2 linked regions of the Stegostoma tigrinum genome follow. The protein of the gene in region 1 binds, or shares a complex with, the protein of each later gene. Links are inferred from orthologs where the notes say so. Each region holds a gene or a part of one and is shown on either strand. Other genes may lie near its edges.

Region 1 (7,594 bases):
CTTTAATTGTGTACTTGCATTAAATGCCAACATTCCATTTCTTTCCTCAAGACTTTCTCTACCCAGATAATAGATCTTTGCTCTAGATACTCAGATCTTTGCTTTTTACCTTATGCATTCCAAAGTCATTTCAGTTCTTATTTCTTCTATTTTAAAAGGGACAGTCCACTTTTAACAAGTGAAGGTCAGCTACAACGTGAGGATGGATTGTAAAGCCAACCCGACCCCCTGTTCCCCATCTTCCCTTTGACTGAAACAGAATACTTATAAAATGAAAGATAACAAAGTGTGAAGCTGGACAAACACAGCAGGCCAAGCAGCATCTCAGGAGCACAAAAGCTGACGTTTCGGGCCTACACCCTTCATCAGAGAGGGGGATGGGGAGAGGGTTCTGGAATAAATAGGGAGAGAGGGGGAGGCGGACCGAAGACGGAGAGAAAAGAAGATAGGTGGAGAGGAGAGTATAGGTGGGGAGGTAGGGAGGGGATAGGTCAGTTCAGGGAAGACGGACAGGTCAAGGAGGTGGGATGAGGTTAGTAGGTAGGAAATGGAGGCGTGGCTTGGGGTGGGAGGAAGGGATGGGTGAGAGGAAGAACAGGTTAGGGAAGCGGAGACAGGCTGGGCTGGTTTTGGGTTGCGGTGGGGGAGGGGACGAGCTGGGCTGGTTTTGGGATGCAGTGGGGGAAGGGGAGATTTTGAAGCTTGTGAAGTCCACATTGATACCATTGGGCTGCAGGGTTCCCAAGCGGAATATGAGTTGCTGTTCCTACAACCTTCGGGTGGCATCATTGTGGCACTGCAGGAGGCCCATGATGGACATGTCGTCTGGGGAATGGGAGGGGGAGTGGAAATGGTTCGCGACAGGGAGGTGCAGTTGTTTATTGCGAATCGAGCGGAGGTGTTCTGCAAAGCGGTCCCCAAGCCTCCGCTTGGTTTCCCCAATGTAGAGGAAGCCACACCGGGTACAATGGATACAGTATACCACATTGGCAGATGTGCAGGTGAACATCTGCTTTATAACATGAAGTTCACTGCCTGCCCTGTTCCGAGGAAGGATCACCGGACCCGAAATGTGAACTCACAGATGCTGCCAGACCTGCTGAGCTTTTCCAGCATCTTCTGTTTTGTTGCACACCCTGCCTGCTGCCTTGCTGTGCACCATCAGACTTGGTCCCATTTTGCAGGGTGGTAGAAGTGTCACGTGCACTGTCAAGTGTTCGGTGCCCTTGTCCCTATTCCACACCAGAATTAGAAGCAACAGTAGACAGTACGGCAGCTCAGGGCTGTTCCACCATGCAATTTGATCATGATTAATCTGACTGTGGCCCTAACCCTGCTTTCCCGTTCATCCTCCCTCACTGTGGACTCTCTAAATCCAACTTAAATTTTCTCAGCCTCTACTATTCCCTGGGTAGGAAAATTCCAAAGACCAGTGATCCTTCGAGGGAAAACGTTTCTCCTCCTCTTAGCCTTAAATGGAAGACACCTCATTTTTAAACTCTTTCCCCTAGTTCCACACTCCCCTACAAGTGGAAACATGCTCTCAATGTCTGCCCTCTATACAGTCTCTCAAGATCATATATATTTCAATAAGATCACCATTCATTCTCCTAAAGCACCAACCTTTTCAATCTTTCCTCAGAAGATAACCTCTTCACCACAGGAATAAGTCAAGTGAAGCTTTTCAGAGATGCTTCTAATGCAAAACAATGCTTCCTTGAGTAAGGAGATCAAAACTGTACATAGTACCCCATATGTGGTCCCAGCACAACTGCAGTAACACATCTCTACTTATGTGATTGTAGATATTTTTAACTAATTTATTCAGATGTGTTATGACACACATCTGGAGCAGGTGGGAGTTGAACCCAAGCCTCCAGGTTAAATGGTAGGGCCACTGCTATTGTGCCACAAGCCATTTGATTTCTTTAACTGTGTACTTGCATTAAATGCAAACATTCCATTTTTTTCTTCATGACTTGCTCTACCCAGATACTAGTTTTCTGTGTTTTATGTGTCAGGATGTTAAGAGTCCTCTGCACCATAGAAGGATCTCTCTCCATTCAAATAATAGTCAGCTTTTCTATTCTTCCTGCCAAAGTGGACAAATTTACATTGTCCCACGTTATATGAGATCAGCCAAATTTTTACCCACTCATTAAACCTAATTCCCTTTGCAGATGGCTAAATTAGAGTATGCGGTGCTAAGAGCAAAGTCGTGGTATGCATAGAAGATTGGCTGTCTGGTAGATATCAGAGAGTAGGGATAAAGGAATTTTTTCTTAGAATGGCAGCCAGTGACAAATGGAGTTCTGTAGAGGTCCGTGTTGGGACCACAACTATTCATGTTATATATTAACAAGCTGGACAAAGGAACTGATTGAAACTTACAGAGTACTGAGAGTCCTGGATAGAGTGGACATGGAGAAGATGTTTCCGCTAGTAGGAGAAACGAAGACCTGAAAGCACAGAACTTCAGAATGAAGGAATGACCATTTAGAACTGAAAGAAAGATGGATTTTTTCAGCTACAGGATGGTTAACCTGTTAAACTCTTGCTGCGTATGGCTGCAGAGATCAAGTTATTGAGGCCATTTAAGACAGGTTCTTGATTGATAAGGGGATTAAGGGTTAAAGGGAGAAGAGGGTTGAGAAACTAATTGGTTATGATCGAATGTGGAACAGACCCGTTGGACCGAATGGCTGAATTCTGCTCCAACATCTTATGACATTACAACAGCTTATCTCCTCTTGATAACTTACTCTTCTGTATATCTTTGTGTTATTGGCAAATTTGACAATCACGTATTCAGTCCTTTCATTTAAATCATTGATATATTGATGTGGATTGTAAATAGTTGTGCCTCAGAACTGAATCCAGTGGCATCCTGCTGCTCACATTTTGCCAACCCAAAAATTATTTATTTATTCCTGTTTACTTCTTGTCAGCAAACTCCTAAACTGTTATCTTCATCCCTTCTCCATGCCCTCTTATTTTACGCAATCATCACTAACCATTTATTGCCCACCCTTTGTTGCCATTGATAAGATGCTGTGAACTGCTTCAGTCTATTTACTGCAGGTACCCTCACAATGCTTTTAGGGGTGGAGTTTTCGGATTTTGACCTAGCAACCCAAAAGAAACAGCCATATATTTCCAAATCTGGACAGTGAGTGACATGGAAGTAACATGCAGGTGGTGATCCAGTATATTCACAGTCCTGGGACCCTCTAGATATTGAGGTCCTAGCTAGTTACATTTAGATTCTAATTTCTTTATTTCTCAATCATTTTTTGCTGTTTTCTAAAATCTGTCCAATTTTCTGATCTACCTCAACTAATCGTCACAGGATTGTACGCTTTCCTCTTTCAATATAATAACTATCTTTAACTTCCTTTGCTATCTCATATATTCTATTGAGAAGTGATCCTATCTTCATTGAAGTTATATTTGCTTAAGTGTCTGTCATTGTTCTTCTATTGCATCACCTTTTTAATCTGTCTTCCAAATGCATTTTGGCCAGCATAGCCTCATAATTTGTAATTGCATCTGCTAAAGTTTAAAGTACTAAAATTGCAGGTGTTGTGAATACCAAAGAAGGTTGCCTCGGAGTACGATTGCATCTTGATCAGATGGGTCAATGGGATGAGGATCGGCAAATAGAGTGTAATTTAGATAAATGTGAGGTGCTGCATGATCAAAAGGCAAATCAGAGCAGGAATTATACATTTAATGGTAAGGTCCTGGGGAGTGTTGCTAAAGAGACCTTGGAGGGCAGATTCATAGTTCCTTGAATGTGGAGGCACAGCTAAATAGGATAGTGAAGAAGGCATTTGGTATGCTTGCCTTAATTTGTCAATGCATTGAGTATAGGTGTTGGGATGTCATGTTGCGGCTGTACATTGGCTAGGCCACTACTGGAATACTGTATGCAATTCTGGCCTCCCTGCTAATAGGAAGAATGCTGTGAAACTTGAAAGGGTTCAGCAATGATTTACAAGGATGTTGCCAGGGTTGGAGGGTTTGAGCTTTAGGAAGAAGTTGAGTAGGGTGGGCTTATTTTCCCAGGAGCATGGTGGCCGAGGAGTGACCTTATCAATGTTTATAAAATCATGAGGGGCATGGATAGGATAAATAGGCAAGGGCTTTTTCTCCTGGGGTGGGGAGATTCCAAAACTAGCCAGCATTGGCTTAAGGTGAGAAGGGAAAGATATGAAAGGGACCTAAGGAGCAACATTTTCACGCAGGGGGTGATGTGTGTATAGAATGAGCTGTCAGAAGAAGTGGCAGAGGCCGATACAATTACAACATTTAAAAGGCATCAGGATGGGTATATGAATAGCAAGAGTTTAGAGGGAGATGGGCCAAATAGGACTAGACTAATTTAGCATGTTTTGTTAGCATGGACAAGTTGGGCCGAATGGTCTGTTTCCTTACAGTACAGCTCCATGCCTCTATCCCTTAACAGGTTGATGTAGACCATACATAAACCTGTACCTGAGCCATCAGCATCTCCTCCACCAAAACCACGTGACACAGGCCCTGCCAGCTCCCGGAAATGACATCTCAAACAGGGAGCTGAAGGTCAGAGTTCGGCGAGTCTGCGTATCGAGGTGCTTTAAGGCGACTTTAAGAGAGTGGCGGCTGACCGCGTTTATTTTTGGGCCGATTGGTGTTTAATTTTCGGGCCCGGAGGATGAGCGGTGAGGAGGCGAACGCCGATTTCCACGAGCAGCTGCGGCTGCAGCGGCTGCTGGAGGGCGGAGAGGCCGAGGAGGCGTGGGGCCGCACGAGCACTTTCGTGGACGCGGAGGGCACCGAGTTCGAGTGGGACTGGGAGAGGAAAGCCTGGTTCCCCAAGGTACGGCCGGGGGTGGGACTGGGCGGAACACTGCCCACCCCCATGACCCCTCTGCAGGCCGCACTCCCGGCCCTGAGCCAATTCTCTCCCCCCGCCACCACCACCATATTTTCGCCAGGTCCTTGACCCCCCCCCCCCCCCCAGGCCTTTCAACCCCAATTTTCCCCCATCCCACCCTTGCCCCCTTTTCCATGTCTTTCAATCCCCCACCCTTCCAGTTTGGTCAACCCTAATCCAATCCCACCCCCCTCCCCTTTCCAGGTCTTTCAACCCCAGTTCCCCCCCCCATTCCAAGTTTTTCAACCACAGTTCTTCTCTCTCTCTCTTCCCCCCCCCCCACCCCCGGTTCGAGGTCTTTCAACCCGAGACCCCACGCCCCCCCCCCCCCTTTCAGGTCTTTCAACCCCAGTTTCACCTCCCCCCATCACCAACCCCCCCCCTTTCCAGGTCTTTCAACCCCAGTCTCTTCCCCCCCCGCCCCCCCCAGGTCTTTCACCCTAAACCTGAACCTTTCAGATTTTTGAACCCATTCCTGCCTTTCCAGGTCATTGATAATATGAGATAACATGGTACGGAGCTGGATCAACACAGCAGGCTAAGCAGAATCAGAGGAGCAGGATGGCTGACGTTTCAGGCCTAGACCCGAAACATCAGTCTTCCTACACCTTGTTATCTCAGATTCTCCAGCATCTGCAGTTCCTACTACCTTTTTCCAGGTCATTCACTGCCAAAGTCTGCACCCACCCTCCCTGCCCACACTCTCCATTTCCACACCCTCCATTTCCACCTAGCTTACGTGACCTTGCTATTCGCACATTCTTGGTACCATCTCCACGCACACACATCCCGACCCATATCCCTCCAAACCCTTCCTATTTGTGTACCCACCCAGAACCGCTCTAAACTCGTTGACAGTTTTCAACTACTTGTCGTACACATCCTGTCGTAACAATTGTTTCCAGATCACTGAAGATTTTCTTGCAACATATCATGCAAACTACGGTTACGTTGAAGAGGACCCTGAGAACAGTGGCAATTCCACCACTGAAACCCAGAAGACAGCAGCCATTCTGCAAAAGTCTTCAGGAGATAATGCAGCTCAAGGGGATCCTAAAGAAACAAAGCAAAAAGGAGAGAAAAGAAAAGTGGACATCGGTGATGCTATTTTTCTTCCTGTCATTCTAGCACTTTTGGATATTATTTCAGATTTGAAAACTAGATTTATTTAAAGGACTAGACAGGCACATGAGTAGATCACTGGTCCGTGCTGTGTGGATATAGATCAGTTCACTATTGCGTTGATTTTGTTGATGAGCCCTGGTCATTTGTCGCTGATTTGCTTTGAGACTTTACCGAAGTCACACTCAAATTTTACTGTTACTCATGTATTTTCTCTGGTGTTTTTTTCATTCTCAGCCAGTCTCATCTTCAGGAACGGTAGTGAATGTAACCTGGCAGCGTTAATTGTGTAAAACACAAAGTTGTCTAAAATGTTATTTAAAATGCAAAGTTGATTATTCGTAAAATAATTTAGTATACAATATGACCAACAGTAATTCAAGACATAAGCATTATCCCTCCCCTTGGCAACAGTTTGAGGCTTAATCACACTGTTTACACCTTTGGTTGTAAATTTGACCCCGAAATGAAATGATTGCATACATACTGACTGGTATGGCTTCCCTGTCTTGATTTTTCTTTTAAGAAATCTCTTGCACATTTTCATATGCATCCATAGCCGTGTCCCCCAGCTATGTCTTAAATCTACTTCGAGCTCTCAACCCTCTGATATATCTGCAGTCATTTAATTCTGGCCTTTGGAACATCCCTGTGACTTCAGCCAACAAGGCCCAGAGCTTTGGAATTCCTTGCCTAAACCTGTCCGACTCTGTTTTCTCCTTTTTTAAAGATGTTCCTTCAAATTCGTTTGCCCTAATACCTGTCAATGTGGCAATATCAAATATTGTTTATGACACTACAGTGAAATGCTTGTACTTTGTACATGAAGAAACTGCAAATTGACCAATGTGCAAACACGTGTATGTACCTAACAAGAGTCTGTGGAACTTGGAACACACTGCTAAGAGTGGTAGAGGCAGAGCCCCTTGTAACATGCTAAGAAGTATTTAAAAGTAAACTTGTGGTGCCAAGGCATAAAGACCCTTCATAAGCCTATTAGAATAGGTAGGTGGTTGATTTTGATCATGCCTTCCCTGTGCTGTAGATCTCAATGATTCAATTGTGCAAATTGCTATGTTGACTGCATGGTCTTTCCTTTGTTCTTGATGGATTATTGAATTTTAATTCCAATAATCACAATGTTGGCATTAGTGATAACAGTTCAAACAAATCTACTGGAGCATCTCCTTGTAATTTGATTTGACATTGGCAACAGTTTTATTAAATCATTTTTGAGGCTGACTTGTCAATCTTGTATTGCTGTCTTTAACTTGTCTCTTGAGATGGATACAAATGTAATTGAACAACCTCTGAAAAATGACAATCAGAAAGTATTGTCCGCATGTCATATTTCTGATAATGGAATGATGCAATTTTCTCACAGATAAATAATTTGAAAAGTAAAAGGCAAAATTTTTGGTTTTAATGCTGCAACTCATGTAACATGACAAATCTTGGTCTCACCAACTTTAATAATTTATTTCACCCAAGTTCCAAAGTAAATGATTCTGACATTTGTAAAGATGCTGAATTAATACTTGAAGAACTGTGTGT
Region 2 (7,100 bases), on another chromosome or scaffold:
TGTAACACTGCACATTTTTCCTTTTTAGTTAGCCCAACAGCCTTCTAAGTGCTCCTACAAAATTGATCTCCACCATGCTGTTTGGCATGCTGTTTAAAAAAAGAAGTTAGGTGCTAATTAAATCAACAATGTAAAGAAAGGTTTTACTCCTTGGCTTCCTATATTCATCCATCCACGTATTAATTTGCGTCCAGCAGTTGCAAACACGCGAGGCGAGACCAGTTTTATCCAAAAGATGCTCATCCATTGGGAGCTGAATCAAGACTGTAGCCTAGAACTTTTTCTAGTAAGAAATTTAAGAACTCTTATGATGGTGGAAATGATTACTGGACTTGGACCCAAGAGACTGGCCTAACATCCTCTGGCAGCAGTTCTCCAGCTCAAGTATTTGTGAAGGTAAAACCGAAGCTGAGCTCAGTACTCACCATCCATAAGGCACCTTTTGTGCCATCTAGTGGTCATTGAATGATTAACCCAAACACTGGATGGGATAAGAAGCACTGTTGAAGCAACGAGCCCCAAGTGTTGGACTCACTGAAAGTTCAAATGAAGAATTTATATGAACTTATAATTCTTTGATAGAAATTTCTGGAAGTGCTGAGGTCTTCCAGCACTTTCTGCTTCCACCACAAAAAAACTGGAAGCACTCGCTTTTCCAATTGGTCTCTTTATGAGGGTGTCACCTGTTAATACCAGACTATGCAGGCAAAAGCTGACACCTGAACGCTTCTTGTAATGTACTTGTAGCATCCCTACCTTTGAGCTAGGAGGCCTAGGTTCAAGTCACACCTGCTCTAGAGTTGTCTAATAATATCTTTGGCCAGGTTTGGTTAGAAAATATAAAAACAACTACCTCCTGTACTAATACAGTGTGGAGCTGGAGGAACACATCAGGCCGGGTAGCATCAGAGGAGCAGGGAGGCTGACATAGGCTTTTCTGAAGAAGTGTCCTGACCCGTAACATCAGCTTTCCTACTCCTCTGATTCTGCCCGTCCTGCTGTGTTCCTCCAGCTCCACATTGTGTTGCCTATGACATTGGCAGTTCTTATTATCTCTGACTCCTGTATTTCCTTATTTAGACATACTTTCCAAACCTGAAGGAAATTATATTCATCCTTAATATTAAAATCATGCAAATTAAAATTAACATTACACACAGATTTTGAGTTATGTTGAAGTGCATCTTAAATTTGATGTTAAGGTACAATGACAGAAGAAATCATTGACACAGACACAAAGCAAAAATTAAAGTAACTGGTGGAATAAAATTCTGACATCCCTTAAAAATTAAAAATAGGCAGATTGGGAAGCAATTCTTCTCTCAAAGTGCAATGAAACTTTGGAACTATTGCTGCCAAAAAGCTGGCTAAGGAGTGGGGTTGGGACGGCCACAGGGTAAACTGGATGCTTGCCTTGGGCAGCATGATTTGGGGAGCTGCAAAAAAAACCCTGCGAGCTTTTTAAATAATTTTGAACTGAAACGCATAATTTTATACAACTTGGTTTCATTGTTGTTGTTTCCTGGGTCAAACACCAGTGCCATTATGATAGGACCTGACAGCTGCCCCGTAATTTAGCTCAGATTATGTTACCACAAAGGTTGGGTTCTTATTGGGACAGATATATTGAAGTTTATTCACAATATTTATTATTTACATAGCTGTAATATTATAAACATAGAAACTGCACAGGTTCTGTACTTTCTGATATTAGCCCATATGTTATACAGATGACAAATTGGCTGAACATACAACCCTGACTCCATGACACAGAAGTAACTGGTAGGTACTGGGACATCATGTATTTGAATGATGTGATGCTTGAAGGCGCACAACATGCCTTGGCCTGGAATCTATGCAATACCAAAACATCGCAATTCACACCCTTGTCTGCAGGGAAAGAACCTGCAATTGCCATCATCTTCCAGCATTACCATATGTTGATATCACATCCAATGTAACATCACCCAATCAAATTCAAACATCTTTAAACATACCATAAAAGCTAAGAGAACAGTGATTGGCTAGGATTCTGGTAGGTTGTGATGTGATTGATGGTGTTTTGAATTTCATTGAGGGGTTGGGTTAGTGTTTTGCAATGGATGTGAGAGGGGATTCATATCATTTTAATCTTTGTTGGGTCAGGGTTTGTTTTTAAGATTTACTGCAGATGGTCTTGCATTATTTTGACTGCGACTAGAAGTTAAACAGCAGAGCTTTAACCAACAGCCAATTCATTGCCTGGGTGTGTCATGTTAGTGATAAATTGACCAATGATAGTTCACTTGTCAAGAGTGACTGGCTCTGAGTGTTGGTCCATCCAAAATAGGAAAACACATTATCACTTATGAAGCAATTCAACTGACCTCTGTGTGTGTGTGTGTGTGTGTGTGTGTGTGTGTGTGTGTGTGTGTGTGTAGTACACACACTACAGCAGACTAATAGATGGGTAAATTTGCCGTATGGTACATTGGTAGAGGAGCGGGTCTGGTGGTTACATAGTCCACCAGAGCTGGAGTGGTGTGGGTGCTGACAAGGCCATAACGGTGTGTGGAGGTGGTTAGCTGCTGTCACAGCTGGTCCAAACTTTGAGTCCCCCACCACCGACGCACCTGAGCAGGGAAGGTACATGTACACATTGGATAAACAAAAAAAAAGCTATAGTGTACTCTGTACTGTGGAATAGTGCTACTTTGAGAAGGTCAGACCCTCGATATGCAAAACTGGGACATGGCATATACAGTTAATGGTAGGACGCTGTAGAGTGTTGCCAAACAAAGAGACCTCGGGGTATCGGTGCATTGTTCCTTGAAAGTGGAGTTGCAGGTGGACAGGGTAGTGAGGAAAGCATTTTGTATGCTTGCTTTCATTGGTCAGAGCATTTAGTGTATGAGTTGGGGTGTCATCCAGCAGCTGTACAGGACATTGGTGAAACCACTTTTGGAATACTGCTTACAATTCCGCTCACCTGTTTATGCAGCATGATTTTGTTAAACATGAGAGGGTGTAAAAAATATTTACAAGGATTTTGCATGGACAGGGGGTTTTGAGTTACAGAGAGAGGTTGAATAAGCAGGGGCTGGACTCTTTTCCCTGGAGTGGTGGAGACTAAGGGGTGACCATATAGAGGTTTATAAAATCATGCAGGGCCTGGATAGGGTGAATAGCCAAGGTTGTTTCCTGGGGCAGGGGGAGGGAGTCATGCAAAAGTAGCGGGCATAGTTTTTAAAGTGAGAGGGCAAAGATTTAAACAAAGATCTGAGGGGTAGCTTTACCATCGGTGTTGCATGAATGGAATGAGCTGCCAGAGGACATGGTGGAGGCAGGTACAATTACAACAGTTCAAAGGCATCTGGACGGTATTTGAATAGGAAGTGTTTAGAGAAATACGGGCCAAATAGTGGCAAATGGCATGAGATTAATTTAGGATATCTGGCTGGCATTGTTTGTTTCTGTGCTATATATCTCTACAACTCTACGTGGGACAAAGTCTTGGGTGAGCTCTGAACAGTGAGAGCAGAAAGCATAGTCACAGTCACTAATGTACTGCAATGGAGGCAGGAGTTGTGAACGAACCTGATTGCAACAAAGAATGTTCCGACTATTGACCAAGTTAATGCAGATATTTCATGAAGTCAACACTCCAGCCTCCGTGGACTGTGCTGTGAGCAAACCAGGATAAAACTCGCAGAAACATCAACATGAAGTAGAAACATGTTTCCTTGAACACTCCTGTGTAACTTAGTTGTGAAACATGTTGTGCGAATCTCACTGAGTTGGGAACTGCTGTCACTTTGGACAAAGCTGATAGACCCAGATGGGTTTCCCACAGCAACTCATTTTATTTGCTGAACAAGAAACAGAAATCACGGGAATGGTGGGATACATTTCCAACAAGGGAAACAAATCGACGTAAAAACACAAACAAATGAACGCAACAGTAAAATATATTGGCAGAAATGAAGCGTTTTCACGGTTGTTTTGCCTCTCTTTTGGGGGGGGGGGGAACGTTTCTCCAGCGGTCGCTGACGGCGGAGGCAGGAACGTGAACACCCCGAATTCCGGAAGGCAAGTCACGTCACGTCCGGCGGTCTGTCCAATCCGGGAGCGGGTCCGTCAGTTTCAGCACGGTCGTCGTGTCCCGCCGCAATGGAGACCATTCTGGAGCAGCAGCGCCGTTACCATGAGGAGAAGGAGCGGCTGATGGATGTGATGGTGAAGGAGATGATGGTGAAGAAGTCCACGGTGAGCGGGGGAGGGCGGTTGTGTTCAGGTTTTCGGCTGCTTCCTCTCCTCCCCCGGGAGGCCGGGCCCCTCAGCCTCGCTGTAGGAAACCCCTGCCCCTCCACCCCCCGGGGGCCCGGGGTCGTACACAGAAAAGCTCATAGTTTTTAAAAAGGGCATCTCAGACTGTTAGACCGTGAAATGTATCGGTGGAATAAGGCCATTCAGCCCCTCGAATCCACCCATCACTCAATGAACACAAAAGCTGGCGATTACAGTGGGTCAGGCAGCATCCACCCACGCCCCTCCACCTCCTCCCGAACTTCCAGTTCCCCGGTCCCCCACATCTCATTTTCACCGTGGACGTCCAGTCCCTATACACCTCCATTCCCGTACAGATGGCCGAAAGGCCCTCGGCTTCTTCCTGTCCCGCAGATCCGACCAGTCCCCCTCCACTGACACCCTCATCCGCTTATCCGAACTCATCCTAACCTTCAACAACTCTTTCAATTCCTCCCACTTCCTGCAGACAAAGGGGATGGCCATGGGTACCTGCATGGGCCCAAGCTATGCCTGCCTCTTTGTACGTTACGTGTAACAATCCCTCTTCCGTAACTACACTGGCCCTAAACCTAATCCCTTCCTCCGTTAAACTGATGACCATATCGGCACCGCCTCCTGCTCCCACGAGGAGCTCGAACAGTTCATCCACTTCAACATCTTCCAGCCCAACCTTAGGTTCACCTGGATCATCTCTAACACCTCTCTCTCTCCTTTCTGACTCCTCTGTCTCCATCTCAGGCAACCACCTCAAAACCAAGATCTGTTTCAAGCCCACATACTCCCACAGCTACGTAGAATACACCCCCTCCCACCCACCTTCCTGCAAAAATGCCAAAGCCATTCTCAATTCCTTTGCCTCCTCCACATCTGCTCCCAGGATGAGGCATTCCACACCTGTACATCTCAGATGTCCTAATTTTTCAAGGACTGCAAACCCCTGTAGTGGTCAAGAATGCCCTCAACCATGTGTCCCGCATTTCATACAACTCATCCCTCACTTCCCACAACTCATCCCTCACACCCCGTCCCCGCAATAATCACCAAAAGAGAATCCCCCTTGTCCTCATGTACCATCCCTCCAACCTCCAGATACAACGCATCAACCTCCGACACTTCTGCCATCTGCCAAAGACCACCTCACCACCAAATTCATTTTTCTCTCCCTACCCTTGTCTACTTTCCAGAGGGATCACTCTCTCTGTGACTCCCTTGTCCGCTCCACACTCCCGTCCAACCCCACCACACCCAGCACTTTTCCCTGCAACCACAGGAAGTGCTACGCCTGCCCCCATCCCTCCTCCCTCACCCCCATCCCAGGTCCCAAGAAGACTTTCCACATCAAGCAGATGTTCACCTGCACATCTGCCAATGTGCTATATTGTATCCAGTGGACCCGGTGTGGCCTCTGCCACATCGGGGAAACCAGGCGGAGACTTGAGGACCAATTTGCAGAATACCTCCACTCGGTTAGCAATAAACAACTGCACCTCCCAGTCATGAACTATTTCACCTCCCCCTCCCGTTCCTTAGACGACATGTCCATCCTGGGCCTCCTGCAGTCCCACATCGATGCCACCTGAAGGTTGCAGGAACAGCAACTCTTGGGAACCTTGCAGCCCAATGCTATCAATGTGGATTCACAAAAAACTAACTGCAACTAACCCCTACTGCATCCCAAAACCAGCCCAGTTCATCCCCGCCTCCCTAACCTGTTCTTCCTCCCACCTATCCCCCGCCTCCCACCTCAAGCCCCACCTCCATTTCCTTCCTACTAACCTCATCCCGCCCCCTTGACCTGTCTGTCCTCCTCAGACTGACCTATCACCTCCCCACCTCTACTGGCTCCATCCCCGCCTCTTTAACTTGTCAGTCTCCTCTCCACCTATCTTCTCCTCTGTCCAACTTCGATCCACCTCCCCCTCTCTCCCTATTTATTTCAGAACCCTCTCCCCCTCTCCCATTTCTGATGAAGGGTCTAGGCCTGAAATGTCAGCTTTTGTGCTCCTAAGATGCTGCTTGGCCTGCTGTGTTCGTCCAGCTCTACACTTTGTTATCCGTGGAATTGCGCACATGCTAACATTTCATGTCCAGATGACTCCTTGATCCCCAGCACTTGTTTTTAGTACAGACTCCAACATCTGCAGTAATTTGCTCCATCACTCTGTGAGATCGTTATCTGACAGTCCATTTCCCTGCCATACTCGATAAACTCCTTATCTCGTGCTGGTCAGAAATCTCTCCAACCTGGCCTGAAATGGATGTTGTAGTGCGGGGAATCCAGGCCAAGTGCTTCAAAGAAATAAACAGGAATTGCTGGAGGAACTCGGCAGGTCTTGCGGCATCTGTGCAGAGAACTGAAAGAACTGTGGACCTGTAAATCAGGAACAAAAACAGAAGTTGCTGGTAAAGCTCAGCAGGTTTGGCAGCATCTGTGAAGATAAAAGTCAGAGTTAATGTTTAGGGTCTGGTGACCCTTCCTCGGAATTGGAAGGGTCACCAGAACTGAAACGCGAACTCTAGTTTTTTGTTTCTTCGTAAGTGCTGCCAGATCTGCTGAGCTTTTCCAGCAATTTATGTTTATGGAGAGAAGTTATGAAGAACAGACACTGGACTCAAAGCTGTGACTATTTCTCTGTCGACCATTGCTGCAAGGCTAACTGAGTTTTTCCAGCATTTTTTTCCAGATTTTTAGCCATTCTTTGTTTTGTTCAGGTGTTTAAAATCTTTGGTTGATTCATTGGACTCAGTGTCATTCCTGAATTCATGTCCATATTGTCCATGTTTTCATTTTTGGAATACGAGTTTGAAAATTT

Evidence for each region.
Region 2: htatsf1 (region 1) and sf3a3 share a complex: the UniProt entries of both Homo sapiens proteins name them as parts of the 17S U2 SnRNP complex. The link is inferred for Stegostoma tigrinum from reciprocal best matches to the Homo sapiens genes HTATSF1 and SF3A3.

What each region holds. Positions count from the first base shown.
Region 1 is NC_081371.1:10,945,120-10,952,713, forward strand, and holds the start of htatsf1 (HIV Tat-specific factor 1), read left to right. Parts: upstream 1-4,589; 5' UTR 4,590-4,696; coding exon 4,697-4,861; intron 4,862-5,823; coding exon 5,824-6,016; intron 6,017-7,594. UniProt on the Homo sapiens protein: Component of the 17S U2 SnRNP complex of the spliceosome, a large ribonucleoprotein complex that removes introns from transcribed pre-mRNAs.
Region 2 is NC_081377.1:18,061,826-18,068,925, reverse strand, and holds the start of sf3a3 (splicing factor 3A subunit 3), read left to right. Parts: upstream 1-4,080; 5' UTR 4,081-4,149; coding exon 4,150-4,245; intron 4,246-7,100. UniProt on the Homo sapiens protein: Component of the 17S U2 SnRNP complex of the spliceosome, a large ribonucleoprotein complex that removes introns from transcribed pre-mRNAs.